Schizosaccharomyces pombe: one gene and its partners. Changing the gene in region 1 together with any one later gene gives a genetic interaction. Each region holds a gene or a part of one and is shown in the gene's direction. Other genes may lie near its edges.

Evidence for each region.
Region 2: mutations in dbl8 (region 1) and SPOM_SPAC6G9.01C together harm fitness less than expected from each alone (positive genetic interaction), as found in Schizosaccharomyces pombe (one large-scale study listed by BioGRID).
Region 3: mutations in dbl8 (region 1) and ria1 together harm fitness more than expected from each alone (negative genetic interaction), as found in Schizosaccharomyces pombe (one large-scale study listed by BioGRID).
Region 4: mutations in dbl8 (region 1) and SPOM_SPAC5D6.04 together harm fitness more than expected from each alone (negative genetic interaction), as found in Schizosaccharomyces pombe (one large-scale study listed by BioGRID).

The regions. Positions count from the first base shown.
Region 1 is NC_003423.3:2,557,136-2,565,143, reverse strand, and holds dbl8 (ATP-dependent RNA helicase Dbl8), read left to right. Parts: upstream 1-1,974; 5' UTR 1,975-2,016; coding exon 2,017-7,851; 3' UTR 7,852-7,994; downstream 7,995-8,008. Other genes in the region: guanyl-nucleotide exchange factor Muk1, read left to right, coding at 1-347, 396-1,218.
Region 2 is NC_003424.3:3,240,590-3,244,330, reverse strand, and holds SPOM_SPAC6G9.01C (uncharacterized protein), read left to right. Parts: upstream 1-1,933; 5' UTR 1,934-1,998; coding exon 1,999-2,179; intron 2,180-2,334; exon of another isoform or gene 2,335-2,577; coding exon 2,578-2,676; exon of another isoform or gene 2,677-2,760; coding exon 2,761-2,768; 3' UTR 2,769-3,213; downstream 3,214-3,741. Other genes in the region: RNA-binding protein Nop9, read left to right, coding at 1-1,073; DNA-binding transcription factor Ace2, read left to right, coding at 3,364-3,741.
Region 3 is NC_003421.2:288,235-293,767, forward strand, and holds ria1 (GTPase Ria1), read left to right. Parts: upstream 1-1,645; 5' UTR 1,646-1,677; coding exon 1,678-1,773; exon of another isoform or gene 1,774-1,828; coding exon 1,829-3,981; exon of another isoform or gene 3,982-4,026; coding exon 4,027-4,780; 3' UTR 4,781-4,996; downstream 4,997-5,533. Other genes in the region: spb70 (DNA polymerase alpha B-subunit), read left to right, coding at 1-691, 734-1,042, 1,082-1,252; kpa1 (DinB-like DNA repair polymerase kappa), read left to right, coding at 5,210-5,533. UniProt on the Schizosaccharomyces pombe protein: GTPase involved in the biogenesis of the 60S ribosomal subunit and translational activation of ribosomes.
Region 4 is NC_003424.3:1,504,588-1,509,315, reverse strand, and holds SPOM_SPAC5D6.04 (auxin family transmembrane transporter), read left to right. Parts: upstream 1-1,740; 5' UTR 1,741-2,144; coding exon 2,145-2,288; exon of another isoform or gene 2,289-2,417; coding exon 2,418-2,548; exon of another isoform or gene 2,549-2,584; coding exon 2,585-2,675; exon of another isoform or gene 2,676-2,732; coding exon 2,733-3,725; 3' UTR 3,726-4,228; downstream 4,229-4,728. Other genes in the region: mediator complex subunit Med18, read left to right, coding at 4,578-4,704.

The DNA.
Region 1 (8,008 bases):
AATAAGCCTAAGGAAGAAGACATCAAACTCCCAAATTCTGCATCAAATCTTCCAACTACTGTACAAGCATGTGTGATACAGTTTATCTCTTCTCTAGTTAGTCCGGTTCACCCTCAATTGCTTTCGCCTGAAGAACTAGCAAAAGCATTTCAAAACTTTTACAAGCATACCGATGAGTTTATTGCTTCAACCCTTATCCCTCAACCCTCTTCAAAAGATCAAAATGTGCCTCTTTTGTTTCCTGAGGAAATAGATGCTCAGAAAAAGGCGAGACAACACTTGCTGAACCAAAAAGATGAATGGATGGACCAAATTGAAGATATAGTTTGCGAATATTTGTATGATCGGTATGTGATTACTTCGCCTACAATAACTGTTTACTAATATTGTGTTAGGATTTTCTGTTTATCTACAAGTACGGATGCTGCCAAAGATGACTTGTTAAAAAAATTTATTGCTTCTGAAGAAAAGAAAGAACTTATCAATTGCATTCCAATACCTGATGATGAAAAACTTACAAACCGGTTACATGAAGTCTCTGAAGCATTTTTTGCTCTCGATGAGCAACACACACCTAGATCGAAAATAAACACTTTTATGACCGTTAATTCAAGTATATTGAATGCCTCTCAACTTCCTCAAGAAGAATTGAATGCTGATTCTTTATTAAATTTGACCATATATTGCATTCTCTGTTATCCCGGATTTCATTTAATATCGCACCTGAATTTTGTGTTACGCTTTCGAAATGCAGATTTTTTAAGCGGAGAGCAAAGATACTGTCTCACAACTTTTGAGGCAGCCCTTACTTTTATTCTTCGAGCTTGTCCAAATCTTTTAACTCAATCGTCAATTCAACCCTCTGATGATCCTCTTTCACTTGAGGTAGCTAATAGCGAAACAGTTTCGACCTCTAACTCGCTTCATGATCCGAGTGCAGAACCCTACCCTGTGAATCGCTCATCTTTATCTAATTTAAGAAATCTGGGACTAGCACTTGAGAAATCTTATGCCTCTCTACTTAGTAAAGTAGCCAATCACACTGCCAAAAGTTCAGAAGATTCTTCCAATTCTGTAGAATTCGTGGGCGACCCACCTTTGGAACGCTTTTTGACTGTTTCTGATGCTAGCGATCTTAAAATCGGTGAAATTGAACTTCTTCTTTCTGACTATAAGCGCCTCGCACGTTTGCTTTTTGAGAAAAATGGTAATCAGTAATTTTGACTGAATATTTTCTTTAAAAATTTCACATCCAGTTGGTTTTCGGCTTTGTTTATGGTTATTTGATTCATTTGAGAGACAAAGTCATATAGAAAAGTTATATGATTGATCAATATTTTTTTTTTCTTTGTTGCAGGTCAATTCGTGAACAGCTTAAAAGTTTAAAAGAAAATTTTTATTCAAAACAAGGATTGATTATTCCTTGACGTCTATTTTATTAATGTATGAATATCACAAAGAACTAGCAAAAATGATTTAAGCTTGTATGTTGACGCAAAGATTGCATGCGAATTAAATCCTTACAAAGGAAATATATGAAACGAATATATCATGTTACTGCAAAATTTTTAAATATACTGAATAAAATGAACTGTGATTCTTTGCTCAGTGAAGAAAATAGTCATATTTGAAACTAGGAATTAAACACACAATCACAAACTTCGGATTATAATGGGTAAGAAAGTTTTTTAAGTTGTCACATTATATATAGTAATGTTTAAAATATATTTCGGATAATCATATATATCTTAATTACAATAAAGAAGCGTGATTTTGGTACATGAATTTATATACACTTTCAAAATATACGTTCATTTTTTTATTTAAAATTTCTCTTAAGGCTATTTTATTTCAATGCGATAATCGAGTGCTGTGTGGACATCAAATGATTGGTTGCACTAAATGTTTATAGTGAATAGTGTAATTTACTTCCTTAGAAACCTAGATTTTGAAAAATTGCAGTCGCGCTTTAATAAGTCTACTTCGAGAGTGAGAATGCAGCATTAGCTTGTGGTTATGGAAAATGACGAGGCTTTTGATAGATTAATAAGAAAAATTCAGGAAAATCAAAAACACCCATCTTTCGAAGGGTCCAATAAAGTTTTGCATTTGGCGCTTTCATACCTAAATACTAACAGACAAAACCCTCATTGGGTTTGTGATCCTAAATTACAAGTAGCAGTTCGTGAATGTCTTTTTCTATTTTCTTTTCAAAATGATAACGAGTATCTGGTATGGTTCAAAAAACATTTGAACGAACGCCTTCAGTTATGCCCCAAATGTATAGTTAAATATCACCAATCTTTAGATGATTTCAAAAGTCTATGTTTAAACATTTTTCACTTTGACCCAAATACTCTTGAGATTGTAATGGAGAAAATTTATAGTTGGGACATTTTTCGGTTACAGGAAGTTCTCAAAACAGTGCCTAAAATCGACACGTCCTCGGCCTCTAAACCTATACTATGCGCCTTCTACGAAATCTTATACTCTCCTCGTATTTTACATAATAAAGAAATCTTTCCCTTGTTCCGAAACAGATTTCTTGAGTCCGGTTTTCTTCGGCTCTCGAAAAACCTAGTGCCAGGTGTCATAAGTCTTCTCTTCTCGAGAGATGATGAGCTCCGAAGATGGGCTTGCAGTATTTTAAGTGATGTAAAAACAATCTCCGATAATGAATTTAAAATCCTTGAGGGTCCCCTTCTTCAGGAAATTCGTTCTTTAGACCAGAAGAAAGAAAATGAGAACGAGATGCAAATTTTTCTGAAAGGTTTATCGTTGCTGTTAAAGCATGTTGATCATCTTTATTTTAGGGGACTTACAGGAAAAAATTTCAATGTCGCCGATTTTATTCTTTCGGGATTGCAAAGCGACCATACTAATTTATGTCCGTCTTTCCTTGTATGTTTACATTCTTTGTTATACTGCTATGGACGTAATTTTTGGACGCCAGAAATTTCTCCCAGTGAAGTAATAGATAAAATTTTTAATGGTAATGCTTATAAGAGGTGGACAGAAGAAAATACATCCAATTTTTCAAACGACCAAAAGGCAGAGAATCCGTTTGAATGGGCTACCTCTCTTTTGAAGACAATTTCAATCATTGATGAAGTTGAATTAATTAACAAAATTTTGATTAATTACACCATGCAATATAAAAAGGAACTGGAAGTCGGTTTCAAAAATGTTCAGTTACTTCAATCACTTGCTGACATATTTTCAGTTTTGTTTTCCGAATATTTTATGATTTTCCCCCATAGTGATCAAAGTTTACAAAACAAAGTATTTGAATTACATTCCACTTTAGCGATTAAGTTTGACGAGCTGTTTCGTTTGCTAAACTTGGAAAATGAAGAGTCTGTTGAATGGAGGCTTATTAAGAAAGTTTTTGAATACCGATTGAATTTAGATCTTTATATTTTGAAGCAATTCTATTGCCATTATTTGGACAGAAATAGAAAGCCACCCTTGAATATCAAATCGGTAAGTGAGTCTTTTAAAAATTTTTGGGTATATTTGCAAAACGTATTTCGAGAGGAGAAGTTCTTTATGGTTCGTATTGTTTTTCGTGCTTGCTCTACAGTTTGCTTGATTGATAAGTTGCCGCCTAAGAAAGTTGACATTCCGTTCAAAAGTGATTTCGAAAATGCACTAAACGGATTTGTTGCAACATTTTCTGAAATGCTTATTCAGACTCAATGTTGGCATTTGTCGGCACAAACCCAATTGGTTTCAAATCCTTTAACTTTTCGTGGAATCTTTTCACTCGTTTTTTCTCCAATTCTTGAGATCTCAACAGGAAGTATCTCAATTATTAAATCTATTTCGCTTTCTGACAGCGTTGTTGATACTATAGGAGAGCTATTGAGAAGCCAGTTTTCAAATACACTAAATTCTTCATGTTATGTTCTTCTGCAGTGGCTTAAAGTCAGAAACTTTGGAGGAGCCAAGCACATTGTTTATTTTAATAAATTAATTATAAACACTATTTTTGACTCTGTTGATGGCTTAACTTCTAAGGATGCGACTTTTGCAAAACAAGTGGAAAAGAAAGAATCCCTTAAGAATTTCTGGGAATCGTTATGGAAATTCTTTACTCATTTTTTCATTGTTCTTCCTACTTGGCCAGTTCATGATAAGGACAATTTAGTTGATTTAATGCGGGATACCCTTGATTTTTGCGATATGCTCATTAATATTTTTGAGGAAGTTAACGGATTCATTTTTGGATTATCGGATAACGATATTAAAATTGTTTCGGCTAATGATAAGGGCAGTGCTTTAGCTATGTGTATAGCTGATTCTTTGGTTACTGTATCTTATTGGCTTAAGTTAACTGATTCTTCACTTCTAACATCCGTTGTGAAAGTGATTTGTAAAATGCTTAAAATTTGTAAAAAGTTGGAGTGTCCAATTAGTCAAAATGTGATTGATATTATCCATAGGGCATCAATTACCAGTGATGAACAAACAATTCTTACATTCACTGAGAGAGAGGATCTTTTTATATCGCTCACACCATACCTTTCAGAAGACGTTCTTAATCACTCTCCTTTCAATGATACCAATACGCTTGAAACTAAGTTACAGAGTGATGATCGGGGTTTGCTTTCTAAAGACCAGACTATTGGGATTGCGAAAAAATTACCTGAGTCAAACATTAGTACTTCAAATCATTTTTTGCTTCCTCCGAAGGCTATTTCTGCTTCTAAAGCCATCAATAGAAATGCTCAAAAATCTCAAAATTTAAATTTTTTGAAATCTAAACAAGAGACAACACAGCGAATTCGCGAATCCGCGAAAGTTCCAAGAACCAGTGCGGGGAACCATCTTTCTGAGAAACTTAATTCGGATAATCATATACCAAAAGCTTTGCAAAAGCTCGATTCTGCTGACCCAATTCGCAAGCCTTCACTTTTGCACACTTCTAAAAGTTATTCTAATCCAGATGACAAAAATACTTCAACTTCCGATGAAGATACCTCGGAGTCCGAAGAAGAGTCTAGTAACGGTCTATTCTCGCTTGCACGTGAAGCTAATTCTCATGCCTCTAAATCTCTTCCACAAAGAAGGCAGATTCAGTTCTTGGACTTTGATTCCCTTAAAACAAAAAATGTAGTTCATCCTACTCAATTGCGCCGTAATACTCAACAAAGTGCACAACTTGCTCGACTCCGGCTAAACCCTGATGTTCAAGAGTTTTACAAAGTAATTTTGGGTTGGAACCCATTAGCTGATTCTTTTTCGGCGTCTAATGTTGAGATGCAGTGCGTCCAAGCTAAATTCACGTATAATGATTCAAACGCTTATGAGAAAGTTTTCAAACCAATGTTGTTTCATGAATGTTGGGCTCAAGTGAAAAGTGCCGTTGAAGAAAAGCAATACCCTCCCATAGATTTAATCCTCAACACCCGCAGTACAGTTGATAACTTTGTCGATATTTACTTTACGTCCTGTTCACCTACCGAAGTCTCTTTTTTAAGTGATACAGATATTTGCTTACTGTCAAAATCACAAAGTTCGGGCGATACTAATAACCCAAAATCTTTTCAGTTGTGCAAAATTCAATCCATTTCTCGTAAAAAAGAATCACTTGAACTCTGTCTGCGGATGAATATTGAATCAATTGATCTACAGGAGTATGCACCGAACATTAGGTTCACAGCACAAAAATTATTTAATGCTACTACTAGCTTACGTGAATTTGCTGCTTTAAAATCTCTTCGCCATTTACCATTGTCTCAGAGAATTCTGGATGCCAATGTAACGCGTCTACCTTCAAATTTTACAGATGACAAAAAGCAAAAAATAATGAAGTCTTATGGTGTAAATGAACCCCAGGCATATGCGATTTATGCATCTTCTGTAAATGATGGTTTTACGCTCATTCAAGGGCCTCCTGGAACTGGAAAAACTAAAACCATTCTAGGCATGATTGGAGCTGTACTTACTTCTTCTAGTCAAGGGTTGCAATTTAATGTCCCAGGACAGACGCGAAAAACCTCAAAGAATAAGATTTTAATATGCGCTCCTAGTAATGCAGCCATAGATGAAATTCTCCTTCGTATCAAAGCCGGTGTTTACGATCATGAGGGTATCAAATTTTTTCCAAAAGTTATTCGTGTTGGATTTGGTGACTCCATAAGCGTTCACGCTAAAGAATTTACTTTGGAAGAGCAAATGATAAAGCAAATGGAACTTACGAACCTAAAGAAAGATCAAGAAGCAAACAATTCCAGTGATACTCGGAAAAAATATGACTCAATTATTAAAAAAAGGGACTCTTTACGCGAAGATCTAGAAAAGTTTCGTAGTACTGGAAAAAATAGTTCAATATTGGAAGCACAGCTTCGTGAGATTACCAAACAGAAAAACATGCTTGAACAGAGCCTTGATGATATGAGAGAACGTCAACGCTCAACTAATCGTAATCTGGATGTTTTGAAAAAACAAATACAAAATCAACTACTTCAGGAAGCTGATATTGTATGTGCTACCTTATCTGCGAGTGGTCATGAACTACTTTTAAATGCGGGTTTGACTTTTCGAACTGTCATAATTGATGAAGCTGCACAAGCCGTTGAATTAAGTTCAATCATACCTCTTAAGTATGGCTGTGAGAGCTGTGTAATGGTTGGTGATCCGAATCAGCTTCCTCCTACTGTGCTATCAAAAACCTCTGCAAAGTTTGGATATTCACAATCTCTATATGTCAGAATGTTCAAACAGCATAATGAGAGCGCTTGTCTTCTTAGCATACAGTATAGAATGAATCCTGAAATTAGCCGATTTCCCAGCAAGTTTTTCTATAATTCAAAACTACTTGACGGTCCCAATATGTCAGCAGTGACATCTCGACCTTGGCACGAGGATCCGCAGCTAGGTATTTATCGATTTTTTAATGTTCACGGGACGGAAGCTTTTTCCAACTCAAAGTCTCTGTACAATGTGGAAGAGGCTTCGTTTATTTTATTATTATATGAGAGGCTAATTCAATGTTATCTAAACATTGATTTTGAGGGGAAAATTGGAGTTGTTACCCCTTATAGAAGTCAAGTACAACAGCTTCGATCACAATTTCAAAGAAAGTATGGTTCCATTATATTCAAGCATCTTGATATTCATACCGTCGATGGGTTTCAGGGACAGGAAAAGGACATTATAATTTTTTCTTGCGTTAGGAGTTCGATGAGCGGTGGAATCGGTTTCCTTCAAGATCTTCGTCGGCTTAATGTAGCTTTAACAAGAGCTAAATCATCTTTGTATATCGTAGGCAATTCTAAACCGCTAATGCAAGAGGATATTTTTTATAGCTTGATTGAAGACGCAAAAACTCGTGGTGTTTGGAGAGACTTGAGTGCTAATCAATTTAAGAACTCAAAAAGTATATCAAACGTTTCGACACACCTCGCATCTAACAATTTAAATTTAGCCTCACGGGATACCCCAATTAAGTCGCCGTCGGTTGGTATCTGTGAGGAAAAACAAGAAGCACATAAAGTCAAAAAACGGCACAATATAGATAGTGCTAATTTGTCAAGAGGAACTGAGAGAGATGAAGATATACCGAATAAGCGCGCTAAGAACAAAGTTTCCACTGATCAGACTGCTGCTGATAATAAGGTCACGAAACCACGCCTTGATGAATCATCCAGTTCCAAGCAAGATGTGTTAAACAAAATAGACGAATCTGAAATTGAACAAGCGTCTTCCAAAAAGCCGGGTTATGTGGAAAAAAATAAAGATAAAGGCCATATGAAAAAATCAAAAAAGCCCAAATCGAAACTTGCTCTGGCGGCGATGGCCCACGGTTTTGCACCTCCAAAAGTTGAGCATTTCAAAAGGAAGTAGCCGATTTAGGTTTTAGTATGAGTATTTTACAGTATTACTTTTTTAATAACACGAGTAGCGGGACGTTTTCAATCATTTGAATCTTAGACATAGTTTATTTATTAATATTTCTCCTATCTAAAAATGATTTTGCTTACAACAACACTATATTAATTTT
Region 2 (3,741 bases), on another chromosome or scaffold:
CACGCTTAGTTTCCAAATTGTTACTATCTAACGAGTACGATTTAAAAGAATTACCGTTTATGGAAACTTTGTTGAAGGACGAAACTGGCTCGCGTATTCTGGAGGTCATCGTTGAAAACATGTCAGCCTCTCATCTACTCAGATTTTATGCCGTCTTTGAAGGACGTTTTTATCGGCTTTGTGTTCATCCTATAGCCAATTTTATAATGCAACGTTACATAAGAAGGTTGGGAAGGAAGGAGATTGGTTCTGTCATTGATGAATTAAAGAAGAATACAGACAACATCATTAGGAAGTCATTTCTTCCAGTGTTAAGGACATTACTTGAGAAGAGTAACCATTTACATTGTTATCAAGATGACATATTTTCAATGATTCAGACAAGCGTAACAAATAGTGGAAAGGATGCCAACATTATTCCATGCTTGCTCCGATCGAAGCATAAACGTGATAAAGCCAACCCAGAAAACAAAGAGCGTAAACTTGTTAATAATTTACTGGGTGCTCAACTGTTAGAAGAAATGCTTCACTGTGAGAAACAACATATTCAGTTATTATTAGATAGCGTTTTAGATCTCTCAAAAGAGCAGATTTTGGAATATTGTCTGGAAACAGTATCCTCTCACTTGATAGAAGGAATTCTTGATTTATCAGACTTAAACCCGGTATTTCTTAAAAAATTTCTCAATATCCTTTCCGGATCATTTGCTACATTAGCTGTTTCTGCTCCTGGTTCGCATATTGTAGATAAAGCGTGGAAGGCCACAAGGGCATTGCCGCTTTATCGTACAAGAATTGTTCGTGAGTTGGCTGAAGGTGGTGACGACGTCAAATTTGATTTCTATGGCAAAAAAGTTTGCTCAAACTGGAAGGTCGAGCTTTTTCGTCGAGCTCCTGATGAATGGTATCGTTTCATGAAACAGGATGAACCATCTAAGCGTGTTCATGAACGTGCACGCCAGTATGGTCGTATTGTTTCTGGCAGTTCAGCCAATACTCAGCCTTTGGGGGAGAAGCGCAGCACTGAAAATGATGAAGAGCTTGAGTCCGGTCCTAAAAGAGTGAAAGTCTGAAGGAGAAAAGGTTTCCATTGGTTAAATTGAAATGCACGGCATTTTTACGTCTCGCCAATTTAAGCATGGCATTTTGTTGGTCAAAAAAAAGTTATGTTTTTAATTTAGGTAATATAGGTATTTAATTTTGTTGCGGTTTGCTATGTATAGAGGCGCTTTTGCAGAGTAAGGAAGTAAACTTTGTAAAAGGAATTGTATTTCTAATTATGAATTGATCAACTGAAGAAGAGGTTTCGAATTTTTTGAATTGTTCTACCACTAATAATTTGTGTTTTGTATATTTGTATTCAAATGTTTTGCCTTATTTCTCTAAGGTGGTTTCTAGGCTGAAAAAGAATTGACAGAGGTTTTGAGCTGATTTTCATTGTCAAATAGTATTCACTTTATTTTTATCTTATGCTTAATTACTAAAGTATTTCGTTTATTAAGCAATGAGATTTTGCATTTGTTAATTTGATACAGCAATAATTCGCTTCTTAAATGAAGACAAAAAGTGTTAATTTATGGTATTAGGATAGAGTTGACCTAAATATGCTTTTATAAAGAAAGCTTGGCCAAAGAATTGTCTACATTTTATTGCCGTTTCGAAATACCGATGACAGAGGTGATACAGCTTCTAAACAAAATTAAACAATTTTAAACATAATAAAGAACCAAAGGAAAAAAAAGGAATCGATCAATCTCATGCCTTAATGCTGGTACAAGTTTCTTCTGAAGAATCATTCTTATAAATATTACAAATTCTTTACCGTAATACGAGAGAATACGTTATGCAGATTTAAGCATTTTAGAGAATTCTTATTTTATGAAGCACGGTACCGCAAAAGAATTTCTAGCAAGTTTGCAAGCTACAACAAACTGTCTCTCTACTCAATTATACAATTGCCATTGACTTGGCAAACTCCTCTCTACGAGTATTTAAAAGATGGAAATCGACGACATTTTTGCTTCTAAAAAGGCAAACCCTGCAAATGAAAAGTCAAATGACTCAAAGTCGGAGGCGAAAGCCCCTAAGAAAGGAGCCAAGACAAAATCTACTCCAAGTCGTCCAAAACCTACTAATAACCAAGACGATTTATTTTTAGATCCAAAGGGAGCCTCAGGAAGTAAGACACTTTTTGCCGTTTGATAGTTCATCCTTACATACGTTCTCGCTACTTGGTTAATGATTGCATTCGTTCATGTTTGGCATCCGCGTTGTTTGTCAATTCTTTGACCTCAAATTCATATTTATTGTCTAAAAGATTGAGAAACTTCGAACTGTGCTATATACTTATTTATTTATTATATACTGCTAGAGCTAGATTACGTTTTTCTAGGGAGATACATTTCACAATGATGTTTAGTGTTGGTGGAGACTCCAAATCATTAAGCTCTATTGTGTGGTATTGAACCTTATTCGCTATTCTGTTTACGGGAATGTTTGCCGAACGATGCAATACTTACCTAGCAACGGCACTTTTCTCCTTATCATCAGTAATTGTATTAACGTTTTGTGTTTTAGGAAAGCGTACCGAGGAAGGGTTTCTTGTATATGACGAGGAGGAATTAAACATTGGCCAAGGTGGAGGTACACCGGATTGCCCTTTTGATTGTCAGTGTTGTAAGTAACTTATTCATTGCATTTAAAAACTTTTCCATGGCATTTTTTCTCTTGCTAGCTCTATACTAATACTAATACCTTAAGGTTTTTGATCTCAACGTCGTTGTCGTTTTTTCAGGTTGGTTACCGTTTTTTTTTGGCTTGTCATACTTAATCTATGTTTTCTAATATCATCCATGATCCAGTTGTTGAAGCGTAGACATTTTCATAGCCGTGATTATCCTGTTTATTAGTGGTAGTGTCTTTCAATCAAACCTTTTACTGGTTTAATTCAAAAAATAGTTGATTTGTCCCTTTGGCAACAAAAGGTAAATAAACAATCCCTGGGTCTGTGTTTACACTTGTATTGCGTTGTTGTGATATGGTTCGGTAATCCATGCAATGTAAACAAATAGTGACTTGTTTTGCGGTAAAGTGAAGCATAAAATTCAACAATTGTCGTCATAGCAACGGAGTAGCTATTTGATATAAACAAATAGCCAGCGCACCAAACATTGCTGTAACAAACAAAAAAAAATCGAAGAGTGATTAGTTCAATCATCTACTGGGTTAGACTGGCTTTGAGCCACACTTTCATCTCACTTCAAGTTATCAAGCACTCTTTTCAAGAGTCATTTCTCTCATCGTTCTCTCCTTGATTTCTCTACGCATTGCACTAGATACTCGCTATCCTAAGTAAACAAGACAATGTCGCTTTCATATTTATCATCTTCTTCGCAAAAGTCGTTTGAATCATTTCGACAAGAAGAGAGTCCAGCTTGTAATCATTCGTACCAAAGGGATTATGAAACTTTTGGCGATAGCAAGCATACTTCTTTTTCCTCCTTCGCTCCCTTTGAAAATGAGGTGTCTTTAAATCAAGCTGTTATCCCTTCACCGCCTTCTCATCTTCAGAACTTTCAAGATCAGTTTGACTATAGTTCTGTTCTAAAAACACCGTTTAACCCTTTGTTGGAAGCGAATTCTGCATACTTTTTATCGAACCAAATATCGCTCCCCGACTCTCACTCGTATGCATCCTCCTTTGATGCTTCCTTATCACCCCCTTCCTCGCCTTTAACTTGC
Region 3 (5,533 bases), on another chromosome or scaffold:
AAAATACAACATAAGTGATGAAGATTTGGCAAATCCTAGCGAACTTACTCAAGAACCCGTTGTAGTTGTAGGACGAATTGTTGTCGAAAGTACCAATTTAGGTGGAAGACTCAACCAAAATAGCATTTTACTTGAAAGTTCAAGACGTCTAGGCGCTGGTGTTCGAGTTCGTTTGAAGGTGGATGATCTACCAAGTTACTCAATATTTCCTGGTCAAATTGTTTCAGTTAAAGGATCCAATCCTAGCGGTAACATGTTTATCGCCAAGGAAATCCTTCCTATACCTCCTTTGCCGTTCCCAAGTTCATCTAAACAGGAGCACGCTACCTTTGTTGCTAATACAAATAATCAGCCAATTTCTATATATATTGCATCTGGACCTTGGTCTCTCCGTGATGATCTCTCTTTTTCCCCTTTAAAATCAATGATTTCATATGTAAATAAAAATCCTGTTGACTTGGTTATTCTATGTGGTCCATTCTTGGATATTAATCATATACTAATACGTACCGGAAACATTACAGGAACGTCTGCGACTTCTTTGGAAGAGTTGTTTAAAGAGCGTGTCACACCCATATTAAGCCAGCTAACTTGTCCTTGTATTTTAATTCCTCACATCAATGATGCTGCTTCAGATCATCCTGCATGGCCACAGGATGCATTTAATCGGGTGGCCTTAGGTCTTCCATCTGTATGTTAAGTTGTATAATAATTTTTATTGACCAATCCATAGAACTTCAAATGCTTCCCGAATCCTTGCATGTTTTCCATTAATGATGTCGTCTTTGGTGTGTCAACCAACGATATACTCCTTCACACATCTAGAGAAGAGTTATTTCGTCTACCTTCTCATGGTAACTTATTTGCACGTTTGGTTTCTCACGTACTTCACCAAAGGCATTTTTATCCCTTATTCCCTGGAGGTTCTCTTGAAAAGTGCAACCCTTCAAACTTAGATATCGCACATCTTAAACTTGGTGAATTCCTAAATACTATGCCGGACATACTAATTTTACCAAGTGATTTACGTTATTTCGTAAAGGTATGTTAATTTTCTACTTTGTTTTAACTAATGTTATAGAACGTTGAAAACGTTGTATCATTGAATCCTGGTAAAGCGACCAAAGGGATTAATTTGGGCACTTTTGCAAAATTAACTATCGCGCCATTAGAGCTCGGGGATAATGGTTCTTCTAATCATTATTCACATCGTGTATGGCTTCGAACCAAGGCAGAAATTTTAAAACTATGATAATTATACTCTCTTTTTCTGCGGAATTTATTGAAAATATAAAAAATTCAGCGTTAAATATCATTGGTTATCATTATTTATGTAGATGTCTACCATAGACCGTTAGAATTAATTAACTTTTCAGCTTTCATTTTCTATCTATCGCTATTTTGGTTTTCTTCAAATTTTGTTTGCAAAATTACTCATATGTTTATGTTGTTAATTTAACCATTTTCCTCAAATGTCTAAGACAATCTCTGATATATCTCAAATCGCTACTCGCGAACTTTTAGTCGTTGTTTTATAGTTGAATGAGTATTCCTTTTATACTGTAGTATTTGAATGTTCAACATTTTTTCGATTTGGACTCTAGTCTTGGTGTTTCACATCTCAACCTACTTAGTCACTACAGTTGACCTCCAACATACATAGGGGAAGTAGTGCAAATGCCTGTTATTCCTCCAGAAAAGCTTGTGTCCTTACAAAAAAATCAGGAAAATATTCGTAATTTTACATTACTTGCTCATGTAGATCATGGAAAGGTATGAATTTTGCAATTTTAAACTTTTTTGAATAGTTGCTAATGATTAATTAAAGACAACCCTTGCAGACAGTTTACTAGCTTCGAATGGAATCATATCTAGCAAACTTGCTGGTACTGTTCGTTTTCTTGATTTTCGCGAAGATGAAATTACGAGAGGTATTACTATGAAGTCTAGCGCCATTTCATTGTTTTTTAAAGTTATAAGCCAAAATGATGAAAAAAGAGTTGAAAAAGATTACCTGATTAATCTTATCGATTCTCCTGGTCATGTTGATTTCAGTTCTGAAGTATCTTCGGCCTCAAGGCTTTGCGATGGTGCATTTGTTTTAGTAGACGCAGTTGAGGGTGTTTGTAGTCAAACAATTACTGTCCTTAGACAAGCATGGATAGACCGTATAAAGGTGATTTTAGTCATTAACAAAATGGATCGTTTGATTACTGAACTGAAACTGTCTCCTATTGAAGCTCATTATCATTTGCTTCGACTTGTTGAACAAGTAAATGCTGTCATTGGCACCTTTTATACTGGTGAGCTTATGCAATTAGCTGATAACGACGAAGTCATCAGTGATGAAGGTATATATTTCGCACCTGAACAGGGAAACGTTGTGTTTGCTAGTGCATACGATGGCTGGGCATTTTGTTTGGACCAATTTTCAGAATTTTACGAAAAAAAGCTTGGATTAAAACAAAAAGCACTTACAAAATGTCTCTGGGGTGATTATTATCTAGACCCTAAAACTAAAAGAGTTCTTCAGCCCAAACATCTTCAAGGCCGACGGTTAAAACCAATGTTTGTACAATTTGTTCTCGAAAACCTCTGGGCTGTTTATGAATCAGCTGTGAGCAATAGGAACCTTGAAAACATTGAGAAAATCATTAAGGCATTAAACATTAAAGTTCTTCCCCGTGACATCAAATCCAAAGACCCTAGAAATTTGCTACTTGCGATTTTTCAACAGTGGTTGCCACTATCAACTGCAATTTTGTTAACAGCGATTAGGGAAATTCCTTCTCCTATTAACGCCCAAGCGAATCGAGCTAGGAAAGTTTTGAGTTCAACTCCTCATTACGAAATGATAGATCCAGATATTACACTGGCTATGGAAAGTTGTGACGCTAGTAAGGAACAGCCTGTTTTGGTATACATAAGTAAAATGGTAGCTTTTTCTGAAAGAGATCTTCCTAATCATCGTCGCAAACAACTTAGTGCTGAGGAGATGAAATTGATACGTTCAAAATTATCTGAATCAATTGAGAGCGGCATAAATACCATTTCTATTGAGGAAAACGTTTCTTCTACCAACTCTGACAATTTAGAAGGTAGCACAACTGACATGGACGATGATAAGGACATTTTAATTGGCTTTGCTAGGATATACAGTGGCACAATTTCAGTTGGACAGGAAGTATATGTTTATGGTCCAAAATATGATCCAGTCAATCCTGAAAAACATATTACCAAGGTAACGGTTGAGTCATTATATTTAATGATGGGACAGGAGCTAGTTTATTTAGAGACAGTTCCCGCTGGTAACGTTTTCGCAATCGGTGGCCTTGCCGGAACGGTTTTGAGAACAGCAACACTATGCTCATCTCCAAATGGTCCTAATTTAGTGGGCGTAACTCAGCAAATGGAGCCCATTGTGCGGGTCGCTTTAGAGCCTGTTCGTCCATTTGAGATGAACAAGTTAGTGACTGGCCTTGACATGCTTAATCAAGCCGATCCATGTGTTCAAATAGCCGTTGAAGAAAATGGAGAGCATGTAATTATGTGTGCCGGAGAGATTCATTTGGAAAGATGTTTAAAAGACCTTAGGGAACGGTTTGCAAAAATTGAAATACAAGCATCTCAGCCACTTGTGCCATATCGGGAAACTACCATAGCTACACCCGACTTATTAGCAAAAAATAAAGAACTGAGTATTGGCTTTGTCACTGCAACGTTACCAGTTGGCGGAGTTACGATTGGAATTACAGTAACACCTCTTTCTGGGTCTGTCGTAGATTTTCTGCTGAAGCACTCTAAAACAATTGAAAATGTTAGCAGCAATTTTTCAAAGAAAAATAGAAACGTTGTTGTCTCGGAATCTTTAACAAAAAGTATGGAGGAAGTGTTGACTCCTGAGAAGTTTTATGAAAGGCTTTCCAAGCTTTTAGAGGAAGAGAACTCTGACTTAGGCGAGCTGAAAAATCATTTGGATAGGTAGGTTATACTAGTGTTCTATTGGTTGATTACTAACAATACTAGTATCATTGCGTTTGGCCCCAAACGAGTGGGTCCTAATATACTTTTTGACAAAACCAAGAAGATGAGAGATTTTCGACGACAAAGCGATGAAACAAAATTAATACCCTCAGACCTTTCTGAATATGTAGTTACTGCATTTCAACTAATAACGCACCAGGGACCATTGTGTGCTGAACCCGTTCAAGGCATTTGTGTGTCAATCGATCAGTTTGACATATCTGATGACTCGGAAGATAGTAAGTTACTTACCATCAATAATCCCCAAATCCCCGGTCAAGTTATTTCGGTAGTGAAAGAGTCTATTAGACATGGATTTTTAGGTTGGTCACCGAGACTTATGCTAGCCATGTATTCTTGCGATGTTCAGGCCACATCTGAAGTCTTGGGTAGGGTATATGGTGTTGTTTCGAAGCGACGAGGACGAGTAATTGATGAAGAAATGAAGGAAGGGACTCCATTTTTTATTGTAAAAGCCTTGATTCCAGTTGTTGAATCCTTTGGATTCGCTGTAGAAATTTTGAAAAGGACATCTGGTGCTGCCTATCCTCAATTAATCTTCCATGGTTTTGAGATGCTAGACGAGAATCCCTTTTGGGTTCCAACTACTGAGGAGGAATTGGAAGATTTAGGCGAGTTAGCCGATCGCGAAAATATTGCTAAGCGCTATATGCTGAACGTTCGAAAAAGGAAAGGCTTATTGGTAGAGCAAAAGATTGTTGAAAAGGCAGAGAAGCAGAGGACACTGAAGCATTAAAGATAGTACTTGATTCCAATTTCTTTAGGAAAACGAAAAGATTGTAATTTGATGACAATGACCTGGTTAGATGGAGGTAATGTTTTTTTTTTTTTTTTTGTTACATTGTTGAGGTAGCTGTGATTTTGAGTTAAGTGTTTCATGAACTATGGGACTAAGATTAGAAGTCTATAAGATGAATAGTGTAAAACGCACATGCAAGATTCTTTAGGCTTCTTTTTGTTATGTTTTAAATTGTTAATACAAATTCAAATTTCCAAAAAATACCGATGTTGTGGGATATGCATAATACAAATAATGATATACTCTACTGCGTAATCGCTAGAAGGTGATAGATTACAGACGCGACGCGCCAAAACACAAACACATCTTTGTACTAATTCAAATTCTAGTATTTTGAAAACTATTCGCCTTAATGTTTTTTGACGGATGGAAAATGCAAAAGATTTTATAGGAGAAACAATAAAGGAGAATGGATTACTTACCATTGAAGATGATGGTAGCAGTAGTTCAGATGAAGAAGCTACTTTAAAACGACGATTGGCAGGCCCTTCTGTTCTCAAGTCAGGACAGGAAAATGTTAATCAAAAAAAGATTAACGAGATAATTTACGAAGCTTCCAAAGGAAGTAAGTTTTTTGAAGCCGAACAAAAACGAGACCGAGAACTTCGTTTAAGAATAGAAAAGGTTCAAGTTGAGGTAGAAAAATACCAATCAAAATTAAGGTTTGATAAAGCGTTTCAAAGAGAGTGG
Region 4 (4,728 bases), on another chromosome or scaffold:
GGCCCATTTTAAGCTTGCTTTAAATAAAAAAAAAAAAAGTAAATAGATTTAATTGACAAAAAAATTGTTCCCCATTAATGATGCGTCAAATTTCCTTGCAAAATATCGCTTCAAAATTTTATATGACTGCAGTTACTTCCGTTTATTTTCAACAAGAAAGGAGTAATTAACAATACAGTAAGGATGCAGTGAAGTTAAAAAAAATAAATAAATAAAATAAAAATTGGAAAGAAATAATATAGAAACTGATTGATATTAGTTAAATTTTTTGTACTCACTAATAAAACCTCATGCTTTTCTTTTTTTTAATTTATATGATAAAAAATTTATTGATAATAACTCTCAAGACTAAGTGCTATGATTCTACTAACTACAGAGTTATTTCACTTCTTTTGGCTGATTTTGTTTGTCAAGCATTTCATTGATTAACGACATGAGAATTGTTAAAAAAATTTCACCATTTTTGTAATTAAATATTTACTACAAATGAAGAACTGAAGGTTTAACGTAAATTGTTACGTGACTGATAAAAAGAGGAACCTCTCAAAGGATTTTTAATACTTGGGAAGCAATTAATTAAGCATAACAATAGAACACTGTATTAATTTATCTACGGACTTCTGTATACATCTTTACATGCAAACACAATAAGCTCTTGATAAAAATAACCAGGAAAAACGGTGTTACATATTAAAATATTGCTACTGTATATAAAATCTCGTCCCTTTGAATCCAGTCTATACTTCTATAATGTTCAAACATGCTTTCAAACTTCCAACCTTCATTGAACCTGTCCACATCGCAAGGAACATGTGACCTGGTAAAGATGGCAAAAATTGTTGGGAGCAGTAGGTGCAAAAGTTAGAGCTTCGGCAGATGTTTCGAAAACAAACAGAAAATTGCAAGGAAGACATAAAGAAAACAAAACCAATAAAGCAGAAAATGTATAAAAACTAGCTATCTTCTGCTAAAACTCACATTTAAGTTACACAAAGTTGTGTACGATTGTTCTGCTATTTAACGCTTTAGCTATTTCACAACCGAACCTATGCGGTAATGAATGCAATCATGCACAAACCAATCTGATGTTTAGTACAGCTTCAACAAAAGTTTTTCGAGTTTGATCGAAAATTTAAGGACAATTAAATTTTTCTACAACAACAGAAAATAAAATGGTTTGACAGTGAATCCTCGACAATACTATCATTGGTATCAATTCCTTGCTATCCACAACTTATAATTATAGCGTTACGTTAAAATATTTTATATTATTTTTAACAAACACCATTATGTTACGAATAAAAAAGAAATTTCATAATGGAATACAAGTTGACTCAACGGATTCTATAATAAGTGTCAGGTAGGTATATCCCTTTTTTTTTCGACCATACTAAAATCAATCAACATTCATTTTTTATTTTGAGAAACTTGAAGGTGTTCGAAATTAATGTAATTTTTTTAATTGATCTGCCGTAAATATTAAAAATCCTAAAACAACGAAATCTAAGTCTGATTACGTTATAGAGATCATTTATGGATTGGCCGAATTCTTCTTTCATTTCTCCTTACAAGCATCTTATTTTTCCCTAATTTGTAAAGAAAGTATTTCATAAAGCCTCAATAATTGTTTCTGTGTATCTTTTTTTTACCTATCAGTTTCATGCGTCAGTTTGCCATTCTAAGTAACAATGTTTCTCCACGCGGTTTACTGACTTTGAGGCTTTGAATTTTTGTCGTTCTAACCTATACCTTGAAAACAAACAGGCCTTTCAGCTTAACCTACCCTTTTCATTCTGCTGTTTGCAGAGAAAAGACTTTGACGATTGAAAATTTCTGGCATTTGAATTGACTTTTGTTGGGAACATTTTGATCAATTTACTTTTAGAGTGATTACTCCTTATTCCTGTTTTTTGAGAAGCTTTTGTTGATAGACCGCATAATAATCTTATCCTATTATTTATAGGAAATACTTTTTTTTCTTGTTATACTTTAACCGGTTTCACTGTTGATCGACCTTATTGGTTTTTTCTTTTTTTTTTTGCTTTTCCTTGATTTGATTCCTGTTGTTGTGTGGAATTCGGTTTAACTAGTGAAAAAGTTTTCTTAAGGATTCAATCTTTTTATCCGTCATTTAGTGAAAAATTATGGGATTCTTTTCTTCTCTTGGCCAAATTAATGTTTGGAGCCTTCTAAGGCCCATTATCGAAAGTGACTTGGAAGTTATTGTGATCGCTTTGGGTGGTTATGTATTAGCTAAAAAAGGCTTTCTTCCTAGAGATGCTCAGAAGGTATGATTCATTTTACCCCCCGTTTTAAAGAAAAATGGAGCAGTGAAATAAAGAAATAAATTTTCAACTATTAAATTTCTTCTCTTCATTTATCTTTGCGTTCTCTAGTATTTTACTAACTTTACACAGGTAATATCCAGCCTGAACGTTTATTTCTTTACTCCTTGTCTAGTATTTGAAAAAGTTGGCAACGGTTTGAATTTGAAGATGCTGATTGATCTTTCTCTTTTACCCGTGTTTTATGTTATCATCTCCGCAGCGTAAGTATTTAAGTCATTCACTTTGCTAACTTTCAGTTCTATTCTGATATCATTTTTACTTGCAAAACTCTTCCGACTGACACCTCGCCAAAGGAATTTCGCCACTGCCTGCATAACGTTTCAAAACGTACGTACCTTACCTGCAAGAATATTGTTCGTTTGTTTTTGTTTACTAACTCTTTAGTCAAATTCCTTACCTTTGGCCTTGGTATCTTCTTTAGCTACTACTGTAAAGGATTTGCTATGGGACAAAATTCCCGATGATACACCTGATAAGGTTGCTTCACGCGGTATTATGTATTTGCTTATTTTCTCTCAGTTAGGTCAAGCTCTTCGTTGGTCCTATGGTTATCGTATTCTCCTTTCTCCGAATCAACCGGAGGACCCTCTACCTATCGGTAACCGTTCTTGGTCACATAGCGATGTTAATGAAGAAGAAATTCAGAATTTGTTGGCTTCTAGTGCAAATGTAGATGGGGTTCAAAATTCTGTTCAGGCAAATGAGGGCTCAACTGTTCAAACTGATTCTTCTGCGATTTCCAAAAATGACAACGTTCAAGTTGAAACCTCTAACGAAGAAGTTGGTGGGTTTGGAGCAGCCTCTTCGAAGATCTCGAAGTTTATTGTTTTACTGTTAGATTTCTTCAGCCCTCCTTTATACTCCTTATTTATCGCCTTATTTATTGCTGTTGTTCCTCCTCTGCAACGCTTTTTCTTCGAAGAAGGTTCGTTCGTTGAAGGTAGCATCACCAGTGGTATTCGAATGGCTGGTCAAGTTGCTGTTCCTATGATTTTGGTAGTTTTGGGAGCAAGTCTTGCTACTGATATTTCCAAAACTGAACCTACTCAAGAAGTCCGTAAAAATAACGATACTCGAGTAATTATTGTGTGTCTTCTTGGCCGTATGGTAGTTGTTCCTCTGGCATTATTACCCGCTTTCAGTTTACTCTCATACTTCAGTGAAATAAGTACTGTTGATGATCCTGTTTTTGTTGTTGTTATTTTCTTGCTTGTGGGAAGCCCAACCGCCATTCAATTAACACAAATCTGCCAACTGAATGGTGTATTTGAACGCGAGTGTGCCAAAGTTTTATGGTGGTCTTATGCCGTCTTTACTCCTCCTAATTCGTTGTTGCTAGCCTTTGCTAGTCTTTTAGTTGTGAAATGGACAAAATAAAGTTAAAATCGTTAACGTCTGATGATTTTTGTTTTACAATATCGTTTTCTGCGTATACTTTAACAATTGAGAGCACACGGAAAGTTTACTTATCACATTAATTTAACATAGTCAATTGGTCAAACGTAGTGACTCGATATTGATTAACCTGGCGGTCTTTTTCCATTTCGAAAAGCTCACATTTAATATGTTTTTATTGGTTTAACTGGTATTATTAATACCGCTAAATAGTTTTTTTTAATCTTTTATTGTTTTCTTTTTAAACTCTGTTTGCTCTTATACAATGCATAAGAAATCACTTTCCATTTTCAATTTCTATAATGTTTGGATATCATGTTCATAATGATTCGTTATTGAAGTGTTCAGCTTTGTTGGACCTCGATAGCAACTTAAGTTATATCGTCTTTCTAATATAAAGTTTATTTTATGCGGCGTTTACCACAACGTCCCAAAAATCAAATATGTTGGTATAAATATTAGTTGACCGAATTGTTTTACTATTATAGTTTGATTATTTAATCAAGAATCAAGTAACACGGCGCTCAATATTATTAAAGGAAATAAAGCAATAATAGTATCAATTCGAAGAAAATGTGAAAGAAATATTGGATCAATACTATGTTCCATAATGGCGATTCATAATGATTCTCATTCTTTCATCGTTAAGGTCGTTCGTTACATAGCTAACTACACCGCGTTGAAAACACTGCTCATTAGGCTTCCAACAGCAATTTTCCCTTACTACTGACATTGCATTGTATATTTTGTTCACTATTTCTACAACCATCAGTAGCTTAGCTTTAGTAGACGCTTAAGAGATAAAAGAAATCAATTTCGGTGAGGTGCGATGCTATGCAAGAACTGTATCTTTTAGGAGTAGTCCCCTCGAGGCGTTTTGAAGCAGTTGTAAATTCTTTATCAAAAACGTTGGATGGTCCGAAAACAATATTGGAGTTTTGGGTAGTTTACCGTCCTAAAGGTATGTCGTGAAAAATGCATATGT